Linked DNA regions of Cricetulus griseus. The protein of the gene in region 2 interacts with the protein of the main gene of each other region in a pairwise test. Links are inferred from orthologs where the notes say so. Each region holds a gene or a part of one and is shown on either strand. Other genes may lie near its edges.

What was found.
Region 1: the proteins of Hmg20a (region 2) and Scnm1 interact in binary tests that used the Homo sapiens proteins (3 or more experiments, as listed by UniProt). The two-hybrid records come from large-scale screens. The link is inferred for Cricetulus griseus from reciprocal best matches to the Homo sapiens genes HMG20A and SCNM1.
Region 3: the proteins of Hmg20a (region 2) and Ccdc136 interact in binary tests that used the Homo sapiens proteins (3 or more experiments, as listed by UniProt). The two-hybrid records come from large-scale screens. The link is inferred for Cricetulus griseus from reciprocal best matches to the Homo sapiens genes HMG20A and CCDC136.
Region 4: the proteins of Hmg20a (region 2) and Hpcal1 interact in binary tests that used the Homo sapiens proteins (3 or more experiments, as listed by UniProt). The two-hybrid records come from large-scale screens. The link is inferred for Cricetulus griseus from reciprocal best matches to the Homo sapiens genes HMG20A and HPCAL1.
Region 5: the proteins of Hmg20a (region 2) and Brap interact in a two-hybrid assay, tested with the Homo sapiens proteins (2 studies listed by BioGRID and IntAct). The link is inferred for Cricetulus griseus from reciprocal best matches to the Homo sapiens genes HMG20A and BRAP.
Region 6: the proteins of Hmg20a (region 2) and Rpp30 interact in binary tests that used the Homo sapiens proteins (3 or more experiments, as listed by UniProt). The two-hybrid records come from large-scale screens. The link is inferred for Cricetulus griseus from reciprocal best matches to the Homo sapiens genes HMG20A and RPP30.
Region 7: the proteins of Hmg20a (region 2) and Dtnb interact in binary tests that used the Homo sapiens proteins (3 or more experiments, as listed by UniProt). The two-hybrid records come from large-scale screens. The link is inferred for Cricetulus griseus from reciprocal best matches to the Homo sapiens genes HMG20A and DTNB.

Annotation. Positions count from the first base shown.
Region 1 is NW_023276806.1:61,367,091-61,371,377, reverse strand, and holds the start of Scnm1 (sodium channel modifier 1), read right to left. Parts: upstream 2,801-4,287; 5' UTR 2,685-2,800; coding exon 2,634-2,684; intron 2,249-2,633; coding exon 2,178-2,248; intron 1,939-2,177; coding exon 1,850-1,938; intron 1,753-1,849; coding exon 1,658-1,752; intron 1,558-1,657; coding exon 1,469-1,557; intron 123-1,468; coding exon 1-122. Other genes in the region: Lysmd1 (lysM and putative peptidoglycan-binding domain-containing protein 1), read left to right, coding at 2,922-3,034, 3,586-3,781. UniProt on the Homo sapiens protein: As a component of the minor spliceosome, involved in the splicing of U12-type introns in pre-mRNAs. Plays a role in the regulation of primary cilia length and Hedgehog signaling.
Region 2 is NC_048597.1:167,992,512-167,996,011, reverse strand, and holds part of Hmg20a (high mobility group protein 20A), read right to left. Parts: intron 1,254-3,500; coding exon 1,178-1,253; intron 641-1,177; coding exon 425-640; intron 1-424. UniProt on the Homo sapiens protein: Plays a role in neuronal differentiation as chromatin-associated protein. Acts as inhibitor of HMG20B. Overcomes the repressive effects of the neuronal silencer REST and induces the activation of neuronal-specific genes.
Region 3 is NW_023276806.1:198,417,705-198,421,204, reverse strand, and holds part of Ccdc136 (coiled-coil domain-containing protein 136), read left to right. Parts: intron 1-185; coding exon 186-431; intron 432-515; coding exon 516-590; intron 591-3,500. UniProt on the Homo sapiens protein: May play a role in acrosome formation in spermatogenesis and in fertilization.
Region 4 is NC_048600.1:26,723,585-26,725,759, forward strand, and holds part of Hpcal1 (hippocalcin-like protein 1), read right to left. Parts: intron 1,741-2,175; coding exon 1,635-1,740; intron 1-1,634. UniProt on the Homo sapiens protein: May be involved in the calcium-dependent regulation of rhodopsin phosphorylation.
Region 5 is NC_048597.1:101,540,755-101,544,056, reverse strand, and holds the end of Brap (BRCA1-associated protein), read right to left. Parts: intron 2,501-3,302; coding exon 2,143-2,500; 3' UTR 501-2,142; downstream 1-500. UniProt on the Homo sapiens protein: Negatively regulates MAP kinase activation by limiting the formation of Raf/MEK complexes probably by inactivation of the KSR1 scaffold protein.
Region 6 is NC_048596.1:25,691,145-25,695,322, forward strand, and holds the start of Rpp30 (ribonuclease P protein subunit p30), read right to left. Parts: upstream 2,801-4,178; 5' UTR 2,735-2,800; coding exon 2,653-2,734; intron 1,428-2,652; coding exon 1,372-1,427; intron 1-1,371. UniProt on the Homo sapiens protein: Component of ribonuclease P, a ribonucleoprotein complex that generates mature tRNA molecules by cleaving their 5'-ends. Also a component of the MRP ribonuclease complex, which cleaves pre-rRNA sequences.
Region 7 is NC_048600.1:14,662,214-14,664,530, reverse strand, and holds the end of Dtnb (dystrobrevin beta), read right to left. Parts: coding exon 2,094-2,317; 3' UTR 501-2,093; downstream 1-500.

The DNA.
Region 1 (4,287 bases), on a different chromosome or scaffold from region 2:
ATGACTCTTTGGCATGTGATCCTGCCTTAGTCTCAGGTTCCCTACTGATCTTTGCACTCTGGAGTCCAACCTCTGGGGCAGGCAAAGGAGAACTGGAGACAGAGGGAGCAGGAGCCTCTGGTCTGGGGAGAAAAGAAACCAAGCCTGTTAAATGCACAGAAGGAAAGTAGCAGCTTCCCCGTGCCTCCCAAGCCTGAAGAGCAGTGTTTCCTAAACTGAGTTCCTGAGTTTTTTGTTTTTTTTTTTTTTCTTTTCCTCGGTTTTTTGAGACAAGGTTTCTCTGTGGCTTTGGAGGCTGTTGGAACTAGCTCTTGTAGATCAGGCTGGTTTAGAACTCACAGAGATCTGCCTACCTCTGCCTCCCAGAGTGCTGGGACTAAAGGCGTGAGCCACCACTGCCTGGCTAGTTCCTGAGGTTTTTTTGTTTGCTTTTTTGGAGATAGAGTACATATGATGGACCTGGAATTTACTAGGTAGATGAGGCTGTCCTTAAATTTACAGAGATCCACTTGCCTCTGCCTCCTAAGTACTGGGATTAAAAGTGTATACCACCACACCCAGCTTGAGTTCCATAAGATCTTAAATATTTTACATATGAAAGATTTTGGAATTAGGAACTTGAGAAAAGCCAGCTTAATAGTTCTACGCTTTTGCCTCAAGATTTTCCATAACCAGGTATGGTGGTACACACTTTTAGTACCTGCAGCACTTAAGGGGCAGAGAAAGGCAGATCTCTGTAAGTTTGAGGCCACCCTGGTCTAAATAGCAGGGTTCCAGGACAGCCAGGGCTACAAAGGGAGATCCCCTCTCAATAACAAACAAAAAAGTGTACCACTATGCCCAGATTATGTTACTTTTTTTTTTTTTTCCTCTGTAGCCCCGGCTGGCCTGGAACTCAGAGACCCACTGGCCTTGCTTCTGGAGTGCCAGGATTAAAGGCGTGTGCCACCATCCAGCAATAATGTTACTATTTTTTTGTGTGTGTGTGCATTATTTTGTTTTTCAAGGCAGGGTTTTTGTTTGTTTGGTGTAGACTTGGCTGTCCTGGAACTCACTCTATAGATCAGAGATCTACTTGCCTTGTCTCCGGAGTGCTGGGATTAAAGTGTGAGCCACCAACACCCGGCTAAAATTTATTTTAAAATCACAAACTATCACCAGGCGATGGTGTCCCACGCCTTTAATTGCAGTACTCAGGAGGCAGAGGCAGGGGGATCTCTGTGAGTTCGAGGCCAGCCTGGTCACCAGAGCAAGTGCCAGGATAGGCTCCAAAGCTACAGAGAGAAACTCTTGTCTTGAAAAACCAAAACAAAAAACAAAAACAAAACAAACCACAAACTATCATTTTTCTTTAAACAACATCTCCACAAGATTAGTGTTTCTCAGAGTACAGTTTGGAGAGCAGTAACTTCAGAACCATCTATTTCCTTCTACCCTTTCCCACTTCCGGATTTCCCCCTCTACAGACCTGTGCTTCCTCCGGCAGCAACTGCTATAGTGAGGAGCTCTGTGCAGAGCACTCTGGGTGATTAATCGAGTCTGGGTTAGCAAAGGTGCCTGGTTATCAAGAGAAGAAGACACAGTTGGAGATGTTAGGCAAAAGTCCTGTTGCATGCAGTACAGCCCTGCCTGAACAACACCTGACCAGATCTCTCACCTCGGCTTTGCTTTCTGTCTTCAATTCATTTTGCTGTCTTGGTTTTTGCTCTGTTTTCTTGCCTGATTGCTTTTTGCCATAGAAGAGCTTCAAACCTGAAAAGGAAAGCAAGCACAACATCAAGTAGACTGACAAAATGTTCAGAGTGTATTCTCTATCATTCCTCCACTCCCCGCCTTCTCCTGTACTTACTGGATAGGTGCTTCTTGCCTGCACGGTGGGCAGTCAGCATGGCCAGCGTGTCCAGGACTGGTCGATGGGGGCAGATAGCGCAAGCAAAGCTAGGGAAAAGAGAAGTGAATGGCAAACCCGTATGTGTTGGAGAGCCGGTGGTTGGGGTGTTCCTACTTAGGGGCTATGCCTGTCAAAGCACTCCACCAACGCCCAGGTCTCCCGATCGCCACCTCTTCCAATCTTCACTTCCAACCAAAGGATCTATTACACTCCTGATCTCCTTAGAAACCAAAGTCTGTTGAGCCTCTGATAGCAAATCCCCAGGCTTGATCCACTCTGCTCTCACCGTCCATCCCGCAGCATTAGCGCCTCATCCTCTGGGATGTAACTGGCCAGCAAGTCTCCAACTCTTCGTTTCTGCAGAGAGCAGGACAGGAGAAACGAATATGAGGGATGGATGAAAAGAAATAACAGGGATAAAGAGTCAAATGGAGCAGACCATAGGGTAAGAAGGAGGAGGCATCACTCAGTTCTGGCCCCCGAAACCCCCTCCCACAGATGTCGCCAGAGCAACAAAACAATGCAAAGCGCGACTGAAGCTGGGCTCTCCCTCTCTCTAGTTCTTTGATTTTTCGAGACAGGGTTTCTTCGTGTAGCCTTGACTGTTCTAGAGCTGGCTGTGTGGACCAGGCTGGCCTCGAACCTCAAACGCAACACGGACACACCGGCTTTTGCCTCGCAAGTGCTGGGATTCAAAGCGTGCGCCACCACTGCTCGTGGGTAGACTCTCACTAGGGCTTACTTTGAGCACATTGAGCTGACTCCAGTCGTCACCTTCCCTCTTGAAAGACATCACGACTGTGAGTCTTAGAAATAATAAATTCTCCTACGCCTACTTTGCCTCTCCTTCGGGCCACCGTAGGAAGAGTAGGTTATCGCCTTCCCTGCTTCCGGTCTTTTTCTGATTAAGTCTTTACTTCCGGGGATGCGTTTCCACGCATGCACCGCGCGAGCCGGAAGACCCGCCTCCAGAGCCCTGAGGGTGCCTGCATTTCCTATGATGCCCTGAGAACGCTTTGCCTTTTGGGAAATGAAGTCTTTTAGTTATTTTCTTTTTTTTGTTGTTTTTAAAAGACCTCACCGCTCACCTGAGTACAGGCACTCACATCGCGAAGGACCCAGGTGTTTGGAGACCAAGAACCTGTACGTGGAGCCGGAGTTTCAGGGTGGGACCCTCCTGGCGTGGAGCGAGGCTTCGGGGATCTCAGTGGACCGTGTACTGCAAACTCTCTCAGTCCCCAGGCTCACCGTCCACAGCCACGATCTACCTGGGGTGGGCCTGATTTGGAGCAGAGAGGATGTGGGGGCTCCCGGCGGCCCGGCTGCGGGACGTGGGGACACACTGAGGGGAGAGTGTTGATGAGGGTGTCTAGGGTTCAAAGGTCAGAGATCAGGCTTGCAAGGAGTTGGGGAGAGGGCGTCGAAAGTCGAAGGGGTCGGCGACCGACCACTCAGGGAAGATATTTATGGGCAAGGGTCTTGAGGAAGGAGAAATGTAACCGGCCTGGCAGCCTTCTTAGGGTACGGACTGTGACCCCAAGCTCGGTAAGCAGCAGCAAGAGGAGCATTGATGTAGTCTCTCGAGAGCGGGGACACTAAAGAGAGAAGTGAGAAGGAATTCCTAGAATATCTATCCATTCCTGGGGTTCGGCCCTCACTGTTGGTCACTTAGCTTTCCTCAGTTGTGACCCTAGATCTTGGCATCTTGAGATGGCTTCTCCCTCTAGACAGCCCCCACTTGGGGGGTCAGGGCTGCTGCATGGGAGCCGTGCTCGTTCTTATGGAAGCCTGGTACAATCATCGTGCTCCCCGGTGAGGGAAAGACGCTTGGAGCATCAGTTGGAGCCTGGAGACACCCTGGCTGGACTAGCACTCAAATACGGGGTGACGGTGAGTCTTCCAAGGATTGTGGTGTGGTGACCATTCAGGAGAGATTTAGTGCCCAGGAGAAACTGGGTGGTCTGCTAAGCGGCCTTCCCTGATGTTATATTAATTATATTGTGGTCTCTGCTTTGTCTTATTTTGTTTACACCTCTCAGGGTAGCACTATCCACACTCACAGACCTGCCCTACTATCCCAGTGGGAGGAGCAGCTCCTTGGATTGGGTTGGATGCCGGGATAGGGTGGTGGTTGGGGTGTGGTTTATAGCCATTAACCTATTTGGATCTTGTGCCCCTATCACCGTGAGACTCACCGTGAGACTCACCGTGAGACTCACCGTGAGACTCACCGTGAGACTCACCGTGAGACTCACCGTGAGACGTAAGACGGATAACCAGTTTGATCAAGGTCAAATAACTTTGAGTGTCAGAGTAAGGTTTCAGATAGGTCTGTCTGACTCTAAGTCCCCTACTATTAGCCACGAACAAAAAAACTAAAAGTGAGTAAACATTTA
Region 2 (3,500 bases):
TTCTATAATATGTCTCACTGAAAAAAAATCCTTTTTTTTTTTTTTTGAGACAGGGTCTCACTATGAAGTCCTAGGTATCCTGGAACTCACTATGTAGACAGGGCTGGCATAAAACTCACACATATCCTCCTGCCTCTGCCTCCCAAGTGTTAGGATTAGAGGTGCCCTGCCTTTCTATTGATGCTTGGGTGGCAGAGGCAGACATCTCTGAATTCAAAGCAAGCCTGGTCTATATAGAGTGAGTTCCAGAACAGCCAGGGCTGTTACACAGAGAACCCCCTGTCTGGAGGGGGAAATAAAAAGAAAGTCTCAATAAGGACAACCTGCCCCCGCTTTCCTCTTGGGACTCCCAATAAACAGCACCCCATCCCCACCCCGGCCCACTATCCCCGTCACGGAAAGAGTGTGGAGAGGATGACTTTACCAGGCAAGGGCATGCTGGCAAAGCTGCTGGTCAGCATCTGTCGCAGGGTCTCTAGGTGCTGCTGAAGGACAGTGTTCCGGCTCCTCTCCTGAATCACATCCACCTCTAGCTTCTCTACTGCTGTGCGCATGCTCTCCACGTGCTTTTGTAGGGCTGCATTCCTTTCTTCAAACTCCATGTTGGATTTACGAAGCTGTCGCAGCTCTGCCTCACGAGCTGAGAACACATGCCCCCCAGAATACATGTGGTAAGAGAAGGCGCCTCTGAGGAGTCTCGGTAACCCTCCTAAGGAAGTTCTTTCTAGCTGTCTCTCATTAGCTCCCTCCTCATCTCCCAATTCTCTTTATGACACTCCAGATAGCAATTTCAACAATGAAACGCCTGGCTCCCCAGAGCTATTTTAATTCTTAAAGCAACACATTCTATACAGAAGATTGCAACAAACAGTGGCAATTCCCAGCATTTTGTTAAAATTTGCTTTTAAAATTGTGCAGTGAGAAGCCTGAAGATCCTCACAGGGGTATCGAGGAAGAATGGCTAAGCACAGCTATGGATACCCATCTGTCCTGCAATGGAATCAGCTTTGTAATTTCTTTTCTTTTACTTTCTTTTTAAAAAACAGACATTCTTTGTAACAGAGTCCTCTCCAGTCCTAAGGAGGGCTATCAGTCAGTGCTTTTGAGCAATGAACCCCCGAGAGCTAAATCCCCTGTCAAAGATCCAAGGTACACACAAAAACACTGCAGTGATCACCTTTGCTGTGGTTCAGGAATTCTTCTGTAAATATAGGGATGTCAAAAACAGAGCGTTCCTTTACCTCTGTTTCTTTCTATGAATCAAGAACAAAAGTTAGTTCTCAGAAGTTAAATAGACAATAGTGCCCAAAGCATAAGGATCACATCTTCCTTGGAGAAACAGTGAGCAGAAGTCAGACCAGGAGAGCCTGGGAGGGGATGTATTCACTTATTAGAATGAACTTCACAGAACTGGAGCACTTAGTATCAGATCTCTTAGGTATATGACTGCAAGGTAGTGAAAGACTTTAAACAAATCCACATGCATTTCACTAATGAAGACAACAGAAGCCTGTTCCTAGCATTGGGCTTTGAATAGTCTACAATACAGAGTTGTAAATGTGGCTGGGTCAGGAATTGAAAGAGGGTGTTTTAGTTGTTCTTATTGGTTATGCATTTAAAGCACTATATAAGATGGGAGTATGCAATCAAAATTTGCTGAATGGAGAACAGAAATTCTAAGCAGAGATCTGCTAGTAATGAACAATAATGCTGGCATTCTGTTGGTACTTCTATCTATTTATGAAGGAGTAGTTTATCTTTGGGGCTCCTGTAGACTTTTCTTCAGACACAGGAAAAACAAATCCAAGAAGCCAGAAATAATCAGGCTCTTCCAATAAGAAATCCAAGGATTATGTGAGACAGAAAAGAAAACAAAGCCCCAATTAATCCACCTATAAACCATTAAGATAAAAACCATCATAAACTACTGTAAAATATTTCCAGCCATGAGCTTTAAGAACAGAGCCAAGGGGCTGGAGAGATGGTTCAGTGGTTAAGAGCACTGGCTACATTTCCAGAGGGCCTAGGTTCAATTCTCAACACTCACATGGCAGCTCAAAACTGTCTGTAACTCCTGTTCAGAGGATCCGACACCCTCACATAGACATACATGCAGGCAAAACATCAATGTACATAAATAAAAGTAAATAAAAAATTAAAAATAACAACAACAAAAGAACAGAGCCAATATTTCAACTTTCTTTGGCTGACATTTCTGTAATGAATTTGAAGTTGAAAGTATAATGAATATAAGCTATAGATGTTTTTTATATGTACAACATAAAGAGAAGAGTAGAAAGTGAGGACACTATTGTGAAATCTGAAGATTCCAAAACCTCTCAATAAGAAAGCAGTAAAGAAAAGACCCAGAATTCATTTCTATAAAAACATGTTAAGGTAAGAGTTAATGTATAAAATGAAGGATAAAATGTATCCTTTTGCCAGGTGTGGTGCCTCTGGTGGATTTCTGAGTTTCAGGCCAGTTGGGGTTTTATACCCTGTCTAAAAAATACCAAAAAATACCCCCCCCCCAAATGGTTTCTACTTGTTACCACTAACTTTTATCTTTGAATAAAGAAACGACTTGATGCCCAATAGAAAAGCTAAGCATTTCAGTTGTGAGGAAATCTGAGAGCAGGGATCCCATCTCCCATTGGTGTTTGCTAGGAAGGGGACGGACTGGAGGAACTGCCTATTGCTTGGAACAGATCAAGATAGGCATTTAAGATGGGAAACTGTGGTTCACATGGGTAATCACAGCACTTGTGAGATCTCTCTAAAAAAATGGATGGAAATCTGTAAAATTATGTGTTTACTTGAGGAACATTTCATTTTAGAGTGCTTAATTTTTACCACATTCTTTTGTTTTCCTTATGGAGAAAGCAACTTTTCCTAGAACAATGTAAAAATAAACAGCAGGGTTACCATCAAAAGTGCCACACTGTGACAAGCACACCTCTCCCCCAAGCAGGTCCCAGTGGATTCCAATGAGGACTAAATGTATGGTCAACAGAGACTGGTTCCGAAAAGGATCTTAGGCACATTTCCAGTAGCTGTCTATAGACTTCCGGCTTACAGTATATTTTAACTTTATTACCTGGTTGTGACAAGAAACTCATCAAACACAGTCCCAACATGCACACAGTACCATAGGTCCAATTCTAAATCTACAAGTGACTTAGAGCACAGCCTTGTAACTTTAGTTCTCTTACCTTGTTTAATTTCCTACTCAGCTGCACAGTGACCTCACCATGGGTCTCAGTGTTTGACATTCAGAATGATAAGGGATGCTTGGCTCCCATAACCAGGGCACAAAAGGCTTTTCTCAAGGTCTTTACTCTCCCCAGAATGGTAATTCCATTCTATTCCTTGCCAGAACAGTCCAAACCAACTCATTATGTAAGGGCAGAGGCTAGCAGCAGCCAGGTACAATATCCACTGCCCCTTGGTACAGATTCTTAAGAGTACAAAATAAGAAACATTAAAGCAATTAAACGACA
Region 3 (3,500 bases), on a different chromosome or scaffold from region 2:
AGGGTACTTCCAAGTCCGACCCACCAGTGCCTCACTGTGAGTTAGGTCCAGCCCAGGGGATCCTGAGAGGACACTGGGTGGCACTCTTCTACTATCCAGTCCCCGGGTGGTAAGATGCAGGACTCTGGAAGGACTGTTGAGGGAAATGGCCATTGACTCTCCGGTGGGATGGTTGTCTCTCCTAGGGGAGGTGCTACTTCCAGCTCTGTATGAGGAGGAAGAGGAGGAGGAGGAAGAGGAAGAGGCCGAAGAAGAGCAAGTGCAGAAAGGAAGCAGTTTGGCTTCCCTGTCCATGAGCAAGCACCGGGGCCTGAGCCTCACAGAGACAGAGCTGGAGGAACTGAGGGCTCAGGTGCTCCAGCTGGTGGCAGAGCTAGAGGAGACACGTGAGCTTGCTGGACAGCATGAGGATGACTCCCTGGAGCTTCAGGGTGAGCATATGTGACAGGGCAGGGGGCATGGCCCAAAGGCTCTGTGTTTCCCTGGTTCCAAACCAGATGTCCCTCTCACTTCAGGGCTCCTGGAGGATGAGCGGCTGGCCAGTGCCCAGCAGGCAGAAGTATTCACCAAGCAGATTCAGCAGCTCCAAGGTAACTGCCCCCCAAGTCTAGACAGACACTGGCCACCCTAATCAAACAAACCTAACTCAGTACCTTGGTCTCTTTCTCTCCTCTCTATTCTTTCTTTTCTCACCCCTTTCTCTTCTCCCTGCCCCGCCCCTCCCAGGTTCTCTTCTTGCCTTCATTTCCTATCTTTGCATTTCTACATGGCAGTCCTCACCTCCTCTCTCTTGACACCTTTTTCTCTTCCCAACCTCTCCCCGCTCCCTACATCCCTGTATACTTTGTTCTCCCAATCCAGGGCCAGGGGTGGATGATCAAGATGGAGTTCTAGGCTATATTTCTTTTTCTGGTTCCTCCAAGGGGGCCATAGGAGCGAACAGGGAGCCAGCGGGATGAGACTGGAGGACACTCCATGTGTCTTTGAAGGAAACATAAGAACATGAGTTTGCCCCCCCCATCCTCTCTTCCAAAGCCTGTGTCCCTTTGTCTCAGAAATCAGGAAGGCAAGCGTCCCAAATTCCACTGCACTACCAAATAAAGAGGGAGCTTTTGTTACTTCTGTGGGCTTCCGGAAGGTTTTGAGGATCTGCCCTAGAAAACAGCAGGGACTCTGTAGAGAGAGCTGAGATCAAGCCAAATGGAAAGTATAAATGGAGGAAAAAAGGTCTGGAAGCCGTCCTGGTGAGAGCAAGCGAGTGTATAAGAGGAGGAGCAGAAAAGAAGGGTACAAGATGTAAGCAAGGGGAGACACAGGAAAAATGGCAAAGAGAAGAGAAATGGCAGAGATGCAGAGCACTGGGAGGGAGGGAGCGTGGGTGTTGTTTTCATAATATCTGAGCTCTTGGGCTTAGCTTTATCGTGTACAAATTTTTGCTAACCTTGGGCAGGTCACTTTTATCCCTGTGAGTCTCAAGTTTCTTGTCTGTAAAATGGGTTAACTCATTTGTCTGTCAACTATTTGTTGAGATCCATTATATTTAAAGGACCAACAAAGAACACAGTTGACCAAATCCCTAAAGAGTAGATTCCAAAGCTGGGCTGGGTGGCGTAGGCCTGTAATCCCAGTATGTGGGAAATAAAGGCAGGAGAATCAGGAATTTGATGCCATCCAAGGCTTCATAGTGAGTGCAAGGCTATCTGGGCTTCATGAGACCCTGTTTCATTTTTTTAAAAGTAATTCTAAAGGAAAACATAAACAAGTTCAGTTGGCAATAAAGGCAATGCATATATGAACTCAGTGTAGACCTGTGATATGTGGTCGGGAATGAGATAGGAGTCCATTTTACATAGATGCCTTTGACAAGCCTTTAAGAAGATGGCACTTAAGTTGAGTAATGGGAACGACCCAGACATTCAAAGATCTGATGGAAGGACCCAGTGGGCAGAAGGACCTGAGATGGGAATGAGCGTCATGTGTTGGGGGGACAGAACCAAGGTCATTGTGAAGTGCTTGTGAACGACTCTGGTAAGAGAAAGTTCCAAGAGAAGGCAGAGGTCAGGTTACAAGAGGCCTTTTAGGTCAGCTGACAGGGCTGGGTTTCATTGTAGGTGAGGTAGAGACTACAGGATGCATTTTCCAAGGCTGCAGTCACTGATAAGGTTTACATTTTTAGTTTAGCTTTGCCTTTTTCCTCCACTGTCAAGTGTTCTACGACCGAGCAACATCCCTAACCCTCCAAAAGAGTCCTTTGGAATGCAGGGGGAGGAGGAGGAGGGAGTCAAGTATGCTAGTAGTTCATTTAACCAATTGTTTTCTTGAACTAAGGCAGTAGAAATGGAGATGGCTCAGAATATGTTTTGAAGGTGGAACCTTCATGAGTTTACCCAGGGAAAACGGGTAAATAGTGATATCTTTTTTTTTTAAGATTTTATTTATTGATTCTGTATACAACAGTCTGCTTCCATGTATATCTGCACACCAAAAGAGGGCACCAGATCTCATAACAGATGGTTGGGAGCCACCATGTGGGTGCTGGGAATTGAACTCAGGAACTCTGGAAGAGCAGTAGTGCTCTTAACCTCTGAGTTATCTCTCCAGCCCTAAATAGTGATATCTAATAGGCATGGAAAAGGTTGGCAAGAAACAAGTTTGGGGACTAGGGAAACCATTTAAGAGTTTTTTACTGGGTGAGTTTGATGACCAAATGAGTATGTGAAGAAAGCATTTGGGTGTATGAATCCACAACTAGGGAAGAAACAAGGCCTGGAAATGAGATTTGGTATTTTTTTTTTTAATTCAAACCTCAACTTAAAAAAAATTATTTTATGTATGAGTATTGCATCTGCATGTACACCTTTATGCCAGAAGAGGGCATCAGATCCCACTAGAGATGGTTGTGAGCCACCATGTGGTTGCTGGGAATTGAACTCATGACCTCTAGAAGATCAGCCAGTGCTCTTAACTGCTGAGCCATCTCTCCAGCCCCTGACTTAGTAGTTTTTAACGTGCATTATAATCTATGGGAGATGGGCATTCAGTCACACCAGGAGATGCCAGAGGGGAAAGGCCCAAGACAGGAGGACCTTACAAAGGAAATGGTGATAGAAGGAACACCTAAGTCCATTCTGCCCTGAAAGCCAAGAGTAGACAGAAATGCTTCTGCGAAGGCAGGTGAGGTGGCCCCTGGAGTTGGCAAGATGGAGAACCGGGAGACAGCGCAGACTGGATTGGAACTGGAGAGAAAACAGGAGGTCAAACGGAGAACTGAGCACAGATCATGGCGATGACCGTTTTAAAGAGGAATAGGGACAGAGAGAGAAGCGGGGTCAGGGGAGAGGGCTTGTCTTCTAAGGAGCCCTTGATCTTGTTTATACGGTGAAATTGAGCCAAGTATTAGCCCTTGCTTCGAAAGGAACATTCTTCTCCTTCCCAGTATGGCGAAGTCTGAAAATCTGAAAAGGGAAAGGAGCTGTTGCTAGATGCCCATGACTCCCGGG
Region 4 (2,175 bases), on a different chromosome or scaffold from region 2:
TGGGTTTCTCCCCATTTCATGGAGAAGAAAGCCAAGCCTGGGAAATGGCCAAGCCTCAACGTAGTGCGCTGGAATCAAAGCTTTGGAGTCATGACACACACGAGAGCGAAGAATGCTTTTGAAGTCGGCCCAAAGGCAGCACCAGGCAAGAGGCTGTCTTGCTTTGTGTGTGAACATGTTTTGAAAGGCACTTCCTTGCTGTCTGGAAAGCTTTTTGTTGTCTACAGTTCCACGAGAACCTCGTGTCCTGCTGAGCTCCGTCCTTAGCTCACCTGCGCACAGCACTTGAGGCTCCTCACGGCACTTTCTTGTGCATTAGCGTACATTTAATCTCAGCACAACCCAGGGAGCCTTTTTCCCCCTTAATGGTGCATTTCTTGGTGGAACAAAAGCCAATCAGTCTTGGCTCTACAAAGTCACAGACAGACAGGCAGAATCAAGTCATGGCACGAGGCTACCTCACCCTTGCTGGGGTCCTGCAAGAAACTCACATTTGAGGCAAAGGAGGACATAGGGAATACCTTCATGAACCTCTCACCACCTGTCCTCCACCTGAGACCTGCCGTTTTGCAGCCATGGTAGAACCTCAGAGTCCTGGGTACAATGGCCACAGACAGATGAGGCTTCCATGCCTGACTGCCATAAGTATGTGGAGCGCCTCACATCTCAGGGTGATGGCAAGAGAAGCCTGGCCAGCTTCTCAGGATCCCATGACTCAAAAGCCCTTTGATTCAGTCCTCTTACTTCTCACCTCTCAGGCCAACAGTATACTTGCCTTCCCTCCCTAAAAATACCTGTGAAAATAGTAAAACCACTATCGCCGTTAATATGTGGGCTGGCTAGTTTCATGTCAACTTGACACAAGCTATGGTTATCAGAGAGGAGGGAGCCTCAGTTGAGAAAGTGCCTCGATAAGATATGTCTGTATGCAACTTTGTAGGACATTTTCTTTTTTTGATTTTTCGAGTCTGGAGTTTCTCTGTGTAATAGCCCTGGCTGTCCTGGAACTCACTTTATAGACCAGCCTGGTCTCAAACTCAGATCCGATTGTCTCTGCCTTCTAAATGCTGGGATGAAAGGCATGCACCACCATGCCTGGCCAGTAGGTCATTTTCTTAATTAGTGATGGGGGGGGGGAGGGCCCAGCCTATTGTGGGTGGAGCCACCCCGGGCTGCTGGTCCTGGGTTCTATAAGAAAGCAGGCTGAACAAGCCATGAGGAGCAAGCCAGTAAGCAGCCTCGCTCCATGGTCTCTGCATCAGCTCCTGTCTCCAGGTTCCTGTCTTGAATCCTTTGATGATCTGCTATATGGAAGTGTAAGCCAAATATAGCCTTTTCTCTCCACGTTGCTTTTGGTCATGGCGTTTCATCACAGCAATAGTGACCCTAACCAAGACAACATGGATGAAGTCTACAGCTCAGAGGGGGTAGTGACATGCCCATGGTCCTAAAGCCATAGGGAGGGCACAGGGTGCAGGGTAGGTGTCCCTGACCCTGAATTCCAGTCTTCCTTCAGCATAGCTGAATCAGGTGGGAGAGGAAGGGGCAGGGCCAGGGCTGCAGAGTGCATATCCCAAACACATCTGTGCTATCAACAGTTCCACACAAACATCCCCTCTCCCCCCATGTCCTACCATCATTGTTTGTGTCCATCTGCCTGAAGATCTTGTCCGTTCGTTTCTCCGGTGTGGACTCATCTTCAGGCATTTTCATCACAGAGGACACCATCTTGTAGATGGCCTGCAAAGTAGCATTCATGAGTGTGCTCAGAGGACAGAGGATGTGTGATGGTTCTACCTTAGCCCACCAGGAAGCAGACAGGGCAGAGTGCTCCCTATCTGTGTCAGAGCCCTTCTCTTATCAGAACAAATTTCGCAGATGAGATGTGGGCAAAGGGAGCTGGAAAAAGTTAGGTGATATTTAAGAGCTCCGCTGGGATGGTAGAGTAACAGACTCATGGCTGGGAGTGGGTGGGGATAGTGTCTGAAAGGTGTAAAGGATTTGGGGGGGGCTAGGAATGCTGAGGGGGGAGGTCGCAGGGGCAGATACAGTAAGACCTGCCTACCTGTGGGGTCCTGAATCTGCAGATTCAACCAACTGCAGATGGGAAATATTCTAGAAAAAGAAATATTACTGGAGGTATAGACTTTTTCTTATTCCCAAATAACACAATAT
Region 5 (3,302 bases), about 66 Mb from region 2:
AGTAACAAATGCTATCTGCAGCAGAGCAGCTCTGTGCCAAGTACAAAAGCCACATTTTCCCAGGTAATTCCAGTGAGGAATTTGTTGGGTCAGCAATATAGCTCTCAGGAATGAAGCCTGAGGTCTGTTAGGAACCATGTCCAGAGACTCAAGAAGGAGTATCATTACAAAATGAAGGCTAGGTGTGGTGGTTCAGCACAGGTGGGCATAGTGGGGCAAACACACATGGATCTCACAGTGAGTTCCAGGACAGCCAGGCCTACACAGAGAAACCCTGTCATGAAAAACAAACAAACAAAGCAGGCCATTGGCACTCTTAGATGTATGCTCCCAAGCAATATCATAGATGCAAATTTCACATAGGGAAGAAATAATTTCTGGCTATTTTTGTAAGAGTTCATCGGCCAAGGGAGCGTGGGAAAGTGAAGTGCTTCATCTTTGTTCTGAAGAACACACTAACAGCTTCCATCCTGTACAAATGTCAGATCGAAACATAACTCTTTGACCTTTTAAAATAACATTTTATTTACACATCTTGATTTTTGCTTTCCTGGAACATTTTTTTAAGACCTTCAAGTAGTTTGGAAACCTCTGCCCATCTGCTGCTTCCTCTGGCCACAGCCTTCCCAGACCTATGCTATGAAGTGCTGCAGGGCTGCTGGGTGGGTTTTAATGAAATGAGGAGCCAGCTTTGTCTACTACTCCAATTCTCTTAATTAGCATGTTACCACCCATCCCAGCTTCTGCAAGGTCAGATGTACAAGACTAGTGGGGCTGAGACCAGGGTTGTAACAGTGTAAAATGCGTTCTAGATAAAGAAGCTCAGTGAGAGGCGGGTCTGCTCCTGCCCTGACTGCAGGTGCCTGTGTGGCTCAGGCTTCGGATCTGGAGTGCTGGTCTACCCTCAGGAAGAAACATGTGGGTCTGAGTACACTCATTCTGCAGTTACAGGTGGGGTTTTGGGAAATGCCAGAGCACATTCCACAGAACTGCACAGGATCAGCAACACAAGCAATGTTGTGACAACACATCAGACATTCAGGTCAAAGGATGAGGTCCAATCAGGGAAAAAAAAGTCTTAAAGTGTGACATTTCAAACCTTTGGCTGATGATAAAGCAGAAAATTAAAATGCACTACACACTGCTACCCTAACTGCCCAAGCTCTTCTAGAAGCCAAATCAATCCCAACATGGTGTCCCCTCAATTCTGTTCAACTACTATTCTACTAGTTATCTGATGTTCCTGGTTGTAGAGAGGCACAAACAACCCCTCTGTTGGTCACAGTTTAAGTATCATATGGCTGTTTGAAAGGGGCTCTGCGGCAGCCAGGTTCTGGAGTGAGAAGCAGCCTTTGCTTAAATCCTAAAAGCAAAACTGAAAATCTGCCCATGCTCCCCCTAGCTGTGACCTGAACATGAGCCCAGCCTGTGACCAGTAAATATCCACTGACTGGTGTGACTGGTCACACATAGCTTGTCAGGACTTCTCTCCAGGCTTGCCCCTTGCTGACTCCTGCTAGATGGAGGATATTCTCAGTTACCTCAAATATAGAGCTGTCACCATCTTCCCTACATTGGGTCTACTCCATCTGACCCAGTTCCTTGTTTTTTTGGCCCTCAAGCCAGGTTAGATGGATGCTGAGGACAAGCCTGTGCCTCTTTTCTGCGACATTCAAGCAGCTCTTCAACTCCACCAGGGAAGGGAGGGATGGCAAGAGAGGTGATTGCTCTGCAGTGGGCAGCAGGCCCCTCTCCTGAAGGCAGCTGGGACCCCTGAGAGGTGCTGTGCTTTAGTGCTAGGTAATGCTGCCTCTGAGGTCACATCATGTCATAAACCTACCCCAGAATTCAAATTCTAAGCGCTCCAACTGAATAAATACAACGGAAGAACACAGAAGCCTGGGATCCACCCAGCTGGAGGGCAGAGTGGCCATGAGTGTCTGAGGTCTGAGACTCACCACCCGGGGAAGCGCTGCCAGTGCCATCCTCTTTCAGTCTCCTCACACCACACACAACAAATGAAGGAGCCACACGACCGCAGTTCGTCCTCAGGCATACTTATTAGGGCCCACCCTCCCACTCAGCAAAGGTCCCAGCACACCCTGCAGTGCCCAGGAAGTCTCAGGGACAAGTCTCTCAAGGTCACTTGCCCCTCTTGCTACGGCCCTTCCTGGATGGCAGCTTCCCACCGGCCCCTGAAGAGGGCGGGTTGGGGGCTGAGGGGATGTTGATCTGCCCTTCTTGGATCTCTTGCCGAGTCTCTGCAGGCAGGTGGCTGATCTGCTGCTGTGTCTCCAGGTAGAACATGACATCACGCAGCTGCTCCTGGATCTCCGTGATTTGAAGGTCCTTCTGGTCACAGGTCTCCTTCAGCAGCCTCTCCTCTTCCTTCAGCTTGTTCTGCAGCAGCAGCTGGTTGGCACGGAGACACTTGTTCAGCTCCTGCTCTTCCTGCAGCTCCGTGCTGAGTTTGGCCACTCTGGTGTTCAGCTGAGTGCACCTTGAGCAAAACAGAGGGAGACAGAGATAATTTACCAGCTCCATGGCCCTGTCTGCTCCTGGAGCTTAGATGCCATTAGGGTAGGCGCCTCCCTGCCGAGCTCAGCAGCAGAAACTCTGTCAGAGACATGGCCATGATGAGGAAGCCACCAGGGAAGCGCATCCTCTGAGATAAGTGCTCTGACCTCATGAATTGCTAAAGGAGGGAAAGGGGTCAAGAGTGTGGGTGCTCTACCATCAATGCTCACTCCTGAATGGAGAATTACAAATCAAAACACTACAGCAGGGACCATTTTTATATATCAGAAGGACAAAGCACCCAGGTATGGTGGTTCCAACCTGTAATCCTAGCACTCAGGAAGCTGAGGCAGGAACAATGTTTAAATTCAGGGTTATAGACGGTGGAGAGATGGCTCAATGGTTTAAGAGCACTGGCTGCTCTTCCAGAGGACTGGGGGTTCAATTCCCAGCACCTACATGGTAGCTTGTGACTGTCTGTAACTCTAGCTCCAGGGGTCCATCACCCTTGCAGGCAAAACACCAATGAACATAAAACAAATAAATAAATAAATAAAAAGAAGTCAGGGCTATAGCATGAGAGTCCATCCCAAAGACCAAACCAAAGCTTGGTGTTGTGGCACACATCTTTAAACCCAGCACTCAGAAGGCAGAGGTTAGTGCAGATCTTTGTGAGTTCCAGGCCAGCCTGTTCTGCATAGTGAATTTTAGGCCAGACAGGGCTATATAGTGAGACACTGTCTCAAAAACAAAACAACCAAGATAAGGAACAATAAAGGAAGACA
Region 6 (4,178 bases), on a different chromosome or scaffold from region 2:
CCAGGACAGCCTCCAAAGCCACAGAGAAACCCTGTCTCGGAAAAATAAATAAATAAATAAATAAATAAATAAATGGGAAAAAAATCAGTAAATGAGTTAATAAGACCATGGTAACAAGATATCGTGGTTATAGCTCATTTAACAGCAATGTAATTTTAAACATCTTTGAATTTGTATGATATATATTAGTTCAGTTATTACTGTAAAAGAGTAAGCATAGGGTGTTTTTAAAGAAGTATAGTTGAGGGTTGGGGATGCAGCCCAGTGAGTAGAGAGGGTGGAGACACAGTGTTGCAAGGTATTTGATTACATTGTGTAAAGATATGTCACTGTGTTTTAATAAATATTAAATGACCAACAGCTATGTAGAAGGTATAGGTGGGACTTCTGGACAGAGAGAACTCTGGGAAGAAGGGGGAGTCACAGCTGGACTCAGAAGAAGCATGACGTGTAGGAGGAGAGGTAAAAACCATAAACTACATGGCAGCACGATGATTAACAGAAATGGGTTAAGTCATAAGAGCTAGTTAGAAACAACCCTCAGCTAAGGCCAAGTTTTCATAATAAGAAGTCTCACTATTTGGGAGCTAGCAGTACAGAGAAGACTTGCCACATGGCAGCTCAGTAAGTAGAGGTAGAGTGATTTCTAAAATGCACACCACCTTGCCTTCTACCCCTGCATCTCATAAACTGGGCATGGGCTTGTAATCTTAGCAGGAGGTCTTCGTTGGCAACACAGTTGAATTCCAGGCCAGATTGGGACACATAAGATTCTGTCTCAAAACGCAAACATGCTTGTGATGACTTATGCTTCACTACCAATTTTACTGGACTTAGAAATGATGATGGAAACACACCTCTGTATTTCTATAATGGTGTTTCCATAAAGGGTTAACCCAGGAGGGAAGACCCACCCTGAATGCAAACTGAGCTATTTCATGGGTTGGAGTTCTAAGGGAACTAACTAAAAAGGAGAAAGTGAGCTGAGCCCCAGCATTCATCTCCTGCTTCCTGACCGAGGAGGAACTGTGACTAGCCACTTCATGCTCCTGCTGCCATACCTTCAAAGTATAAGAAAATAAACTCCTCCTTCCTTGTGTTGTTTTTGTTAAGTATGTGGTCATTGCAACAAGTCCACATTTCTAGTTCCTTATTCCCAACACAAATACAAATATTTGTAAATGTTGTTTTTGATATTTTTTTCTGGGATAGGGTTTCTCTGTGTAGCTTTGTAGACCAGACTGGCCTTGAACTCAGAGATCTGCCTGCCTCTGCCTCTGGAGTGCTGGGATTAAAGGCGTGTGCCACCACTGCTGGGCTTGTAAAGTCTTAATATTTATTTACTAATTAATCAGAGAAATCTTATTTTACCTGTTTCTTTTCCTTAAAGTCAACAATATGATTGATGGCAACAACTGAATATCCAACTGAAAAAAAAATAGATTATTTAAAAAATATTCTTTCTTGTTCAAGAGTATGAGATGAGGTTAGGGATGTAGCTAAGTGTTAGAATGCTTGCTTAGCATACACAAAGCCCTGGATTCTGTTTCTAGACTTGGAAAGTAAGAGGGTTTAATAATATTTACTGTTATGTTTCAGGTTGTTCATCTGTCAAGTGATGTTAACAGCAGACAGCACTTCAGAGTGTCATGAAAATTAAGCATTTTAGAAGAGTGCCAGGCACATATTTAGGCTGTGATTTATGCTAGCAAAACACTAAAAACACCTTGTTTCTGCTTTCCAAACAATATTCTCAGGATTTCCTGCCCCTTTGTTCATTTTTATTCCATCAAGTTTATGTGTCTTTCCGTCACCTTCATTATCATTCATTTCTTCTGCGATGCTCTATTTCCTCCCTTACCCGAAGGTGCAATGGAAGGACGAATCCCTTACACCTCTTTTGAGGTGCTCTACAGTAAAAGACAGGGAAAACGACGGTTTGCCTTATCCTCACAACAGTTAGCACTGCTTGGAAAAGTGCCTCTGTCGCCAACACATCTAAATCACGACTCTTGTCTTTAAGTTGTCTAAAGACCAACAAGATGATAGAGTATTAATATAAAAGATAGTGCATGGTAATGGCAAACTAGTCTAATAACTCCCGAGTTCAAGCTATTAGAGCATCCATTATTTGACAGACCCTATGGCAGGCGACAGCACACATGATTAATGCTCATCCCCAAGGAACTTAAAACTCGGGAGAAATAAGGTAACACCCTCCCCATTCTCTAAGAGTCCACAGCAGTTCCTGCCTGCGACCCAGCTTTCTGTATTTGTCAGATGTCGTCGGGGCCCAAAAGGACTGACGTTAAAAGCACCCACCGGCTTAGGGGACTGTACACCTGGAGTCCAGTCCCAGAGCCTACCATTCATCAGCTCACAGCCCCCTTGCCAACACCTCGACCCCTTTGGCCTCTGTTCTCTCCCTCCGCACGGAAAGACTGTGCAAGCCCAGGCAACGGCAGCTTCCTCAGTAGCCTGTGAGTTTCACACGCCAGGGATCCGGGAGACATAGCAACTACCATTTGCCTCTAGGGAAATGCCGCAATCCCACGAGAGACCCAATAATAGGGCCTGGAAAAACTACCAAGCAAACCGGTGGTATGGGGGCAGCGAGGGGCCGGGCTCGCGGGGCGAAGCCAGTAGACTCACGGTGAGCAGCGGTCTCCACCAGTCCCCGAAGAGCCTTCAAGTCCGAGCCCGCTCTTAGGTCCAAATCTGCGAACGCCGCCATGCTGACGTCCCAGGAGCACCCGCGCGCCAATCTGCGCAGTCGCCCTGTTATTCCTCGAGCATGCTGGGAGTTGTAGGCTGTCACTTTGGCATCCTGGGATTTGTGGTTTTTCCCTTCTCAGTCGTCTACTCTCTGCACAGTATTTCCTGTCCTCTAGAAACCAGCCAAAGTTAGTGTGCTCGAACCTACAGCCTCACTTACTCCCTTTTTGTCGTGATTTGAACGAGAATGTTTGGTAGACACAGTAGGGTCTTTCCCCCCGCCCCTCTCGCCAATACAACAGAGTAGAAAGTGATTCATTCTAAACACACCCATAGAGCATTTTGAGATCAAGCAGACGTCTAAGGTCGTGAAGCCCTGTTCCAAGAGCTGGGTGAGCCTGGGGTGGTGGCCCACGCCTTCAGTTCCAGCAATTGGAGGGCTGAGGCAACTCTATGAGTTTGAGGCCATCCTGATCTACACGGTGACATCCAGGCCAGAGAGGGATACATAAGTCTCCAAAGTAGGTAAGTTGATAAGCACATGAAGAGACATGGGAAAATGTTTTTCTTTCCTTTCTCTAATGTCCATTCCATTCTTTGAAAATGGGCTTAAAAGCCTCTTTGAAGCGCTTGCTCTGGGGCGGATTGTTTTAGTTCTTTGGGCTAAGCCTAAGATAATGGGTCTCTGTTATAGAAACATCTACAACCACAAGATGGCAGGGCACTCTCAAAGATGAAAGCTTAGCGACAATACACAAATTTTCATGAGACATATTGCAATATCATTTGATGTTTCTACTTTAAAAATTAACTTTTGAATATTGGCAGATCAATTATCCGACGGCATAAAATGCTGGCATTCTTTTTAATCCACTTGATGCAGAAGGGCAGTTCTTTACTCCTTTCCATTCTGTCTCTGGCTGGCTAGCATGGGAATCCTTTATGCATTACCAATAAGCTGCCCCAGCCTCCTGCAGCTCAGTAATATGATATCTGAACTGCTGGGTTCTCAAATAAGAAAAGTCTATCGATCAGTAGGACTTGACCATTAGGACAATAACGAAGTGCTGAAAAGGTTTAGAAACATTTCAATTTCTGTACTGATTGCAAACAGTATGAGGACTTCCCCTCTGATCACACTTTGAGTAATACTCTTCAACATAATGGTCTCTAATTTCTTACTGATTTTTGAGAGAATATTTATTATTATTATTATTGTTATTTTGAAACAGGTTATTGTTAGTAGCCCAGGGTGGGCTCAAATTCACAATCTTCTTGTCTCAGAATCCCGAGCGTTGGGATCACAGCTGTGCTTTGCCACACCTAGCTTTGGTTAATTTACATAAAGAAAAAAATTGTTGTTTTGTTTGGTATTTCCCCCAAACAAAACAACAGCAAAACAACTTCTGCCACTAGAGCAAAGTCATACAAAACAAACCACTGGCTTTTCAACAGAATGTCTA
Region 7 (2,317 bases), on a different chromosome or scaffold from region 2:
GGGTGTTCTCTCTGAATTGGGACCTTGGAAACCAGGTCACATCTTGCCAGGTATGGCCAATTAGGAAAACAGACAATCATGTCATATATGATACATGTTGAAGGGATTGGGTAAAATCTACTCAGAAAGGAGAAAACTTGAGAGTTAACACATTATTTACCACCCACCACTCAAAAGGTGGCCTGGAGAGGAAGTCTGGACTTAGGGCAGCTTTAGGCAGGCAACAACCCACGACAGAAAGGGAGATTTTAGCTCCCTAATAAGGAAGAAATCTCCAGTGATTAGAGCTGGCTGTGAATGAGCTCCCTGGAAATAGTCAGACTGGAGGCTTTTACTATGACAGCAAATTCAATGAAAATATTTTTGAAGGATGAGGAAGACAAACTATAGATGTGTGCCTTGTGAGTGCTGTGGGAAGTGTCTGAAAATTCAACCTGGATATCCACTCCCAACAAAAGCCCGTGAAGCCGCTTTCAAAGAAGACGTCAACATGCACTGTATTGGGCAGGACTCTCCCATTCACTGAGGGATAGGATTTATTCTGTGTTTAACAAGGGTACTGGGTGGATCCTGTGTGCATTCATCTGTGTCAGACGATAGGCTTCTGTGCTTGGGATAGGGGCCTCGCAGAACCTGCCTTGTTGTCTGTCCTGGGTCAGCTCAGAGTCTGGCATCATGTTTCTCTACACCCAAGCTCTAGAACTAGCTTTGCCTCTGCATGCAATGTGATCTCAAACAAATTAACTTTTCTGAAAAACCCCTCACCACATTTCTAAAATAAGGCTGGACAACAGGATCACTAACATACCTTCTAAATGACACAATTTTATTAAAACCAACTTTTCATATTAATTGATGTTCTCTCGTCCTCCTCCCACCATATAACCTTTGACTTCTTCATAAGCCTCCCAAGTACGGGGGATTGCAGGCATGCAATACCATGACTGACTCAGTTTTCTGTCAATCAAATTACATTCTCATTCTTGAGTACTGAGCTCGTGAGCCACTTGCTTTGCATAAACTCTAACTGTACTTCATCTGCATGTCCTAAAAATCCCTAAGAAACTCCCTCTAAAACTGTAAGTGAAGTCTATTAGGGAAGTATATTAGAGTAAGGGTATTCAAATCAGCTGTGAGGTCTTCCTGAGGTTACCCCTCACCCCTACACCCTGCTTTGTGCATGTTCAGTGAGGGCTGGGCTTCGGTGTGGGCATGAGAAATAGGATGAAAGAGGGTGAGGGCATCATATTGCCTGTGGCAGGACAGGTGACTGACCTGAGCTGGGAAAGCCAATCAGGCCACAGGTGTAATCTCTTCTGAAGAAAACACATGGACTTGAGGGCTGAGGTGTGGAAAGGATGACAGCCCTAAAGGAGATGCTTTCCCCTGCTGCAAACATCCTGGGCTTCCCTTTCACGAGAGTGTCTGAACGGCCCTGGAAACACTGCTCTGTGCTTTTGCTTGACAGCTCTGTAAGCCACTGCAGAGCACTCACAAGCAATGTTTGGGTAACTAAGACAGAGATGGGCCTTCGGTGTAAATGATGCAGCTCTCAAAGGATGCCATAGCTAGAAAATAATCCCTAAGCTCCGAGTGGCCATGTCACTGATGGAGCTGGCAAGTACTTGGAGATATGGTGGTTTTGTCCTTTCTCTCTTTCCCAGGTTTCATGTAAGAGGAAAACACTGTGAAGCAGAGAACTCTGGGAAGCCACTACACTGGCTGAGTCATGGAGGGAAGGAGAAAGAAGTCAAGAAGGACCAAACATGAAGAACAGAGGGAGCTGCAGCTGGGACCTTCAGGTCAGATCAGAGCCTGGTCATGGACAAAAGGAGAAGACAAGAGTTTCAAAACAGAATCAAACAGCAGGAAGCCAGAGGGCGGCTGGAAGAGAGATAGGTGGATTGGTGCTGACTGCTGCCACATCCAGGATAGCTTCAGAATGAGGCGATGGCCAGCCTAGGGAAAGAGCCACTGTGGACAAAGTGTAGGTGGAGACAGTGAGGGGAGGCTTTGGCTGCACTGAAGAGCAGACTTTGCTTCAAGTTGGAATTGTGTCTGCTCCTTCAGACTGTTCTTAATACAAACTGTGATCACATGTGGGAGGGAGGCACTGGGTGAAGCTCCTGTGTGTTCCTAGAAGGGAGAATGGACTGGAAAGAAGCGCCGTGTGCCTGGTGGCAGGAGAGGGCAGGCACAGAGGGGCACAGAGGGGAGGCGGAGACCGGTGGGGAGCTCTGGGTTTCACCTGAATGGAGCTCCTTCACCAGAGATGACATGGTATTGGTGATGGAGTCGGCAGCCACCAGCAGATCGT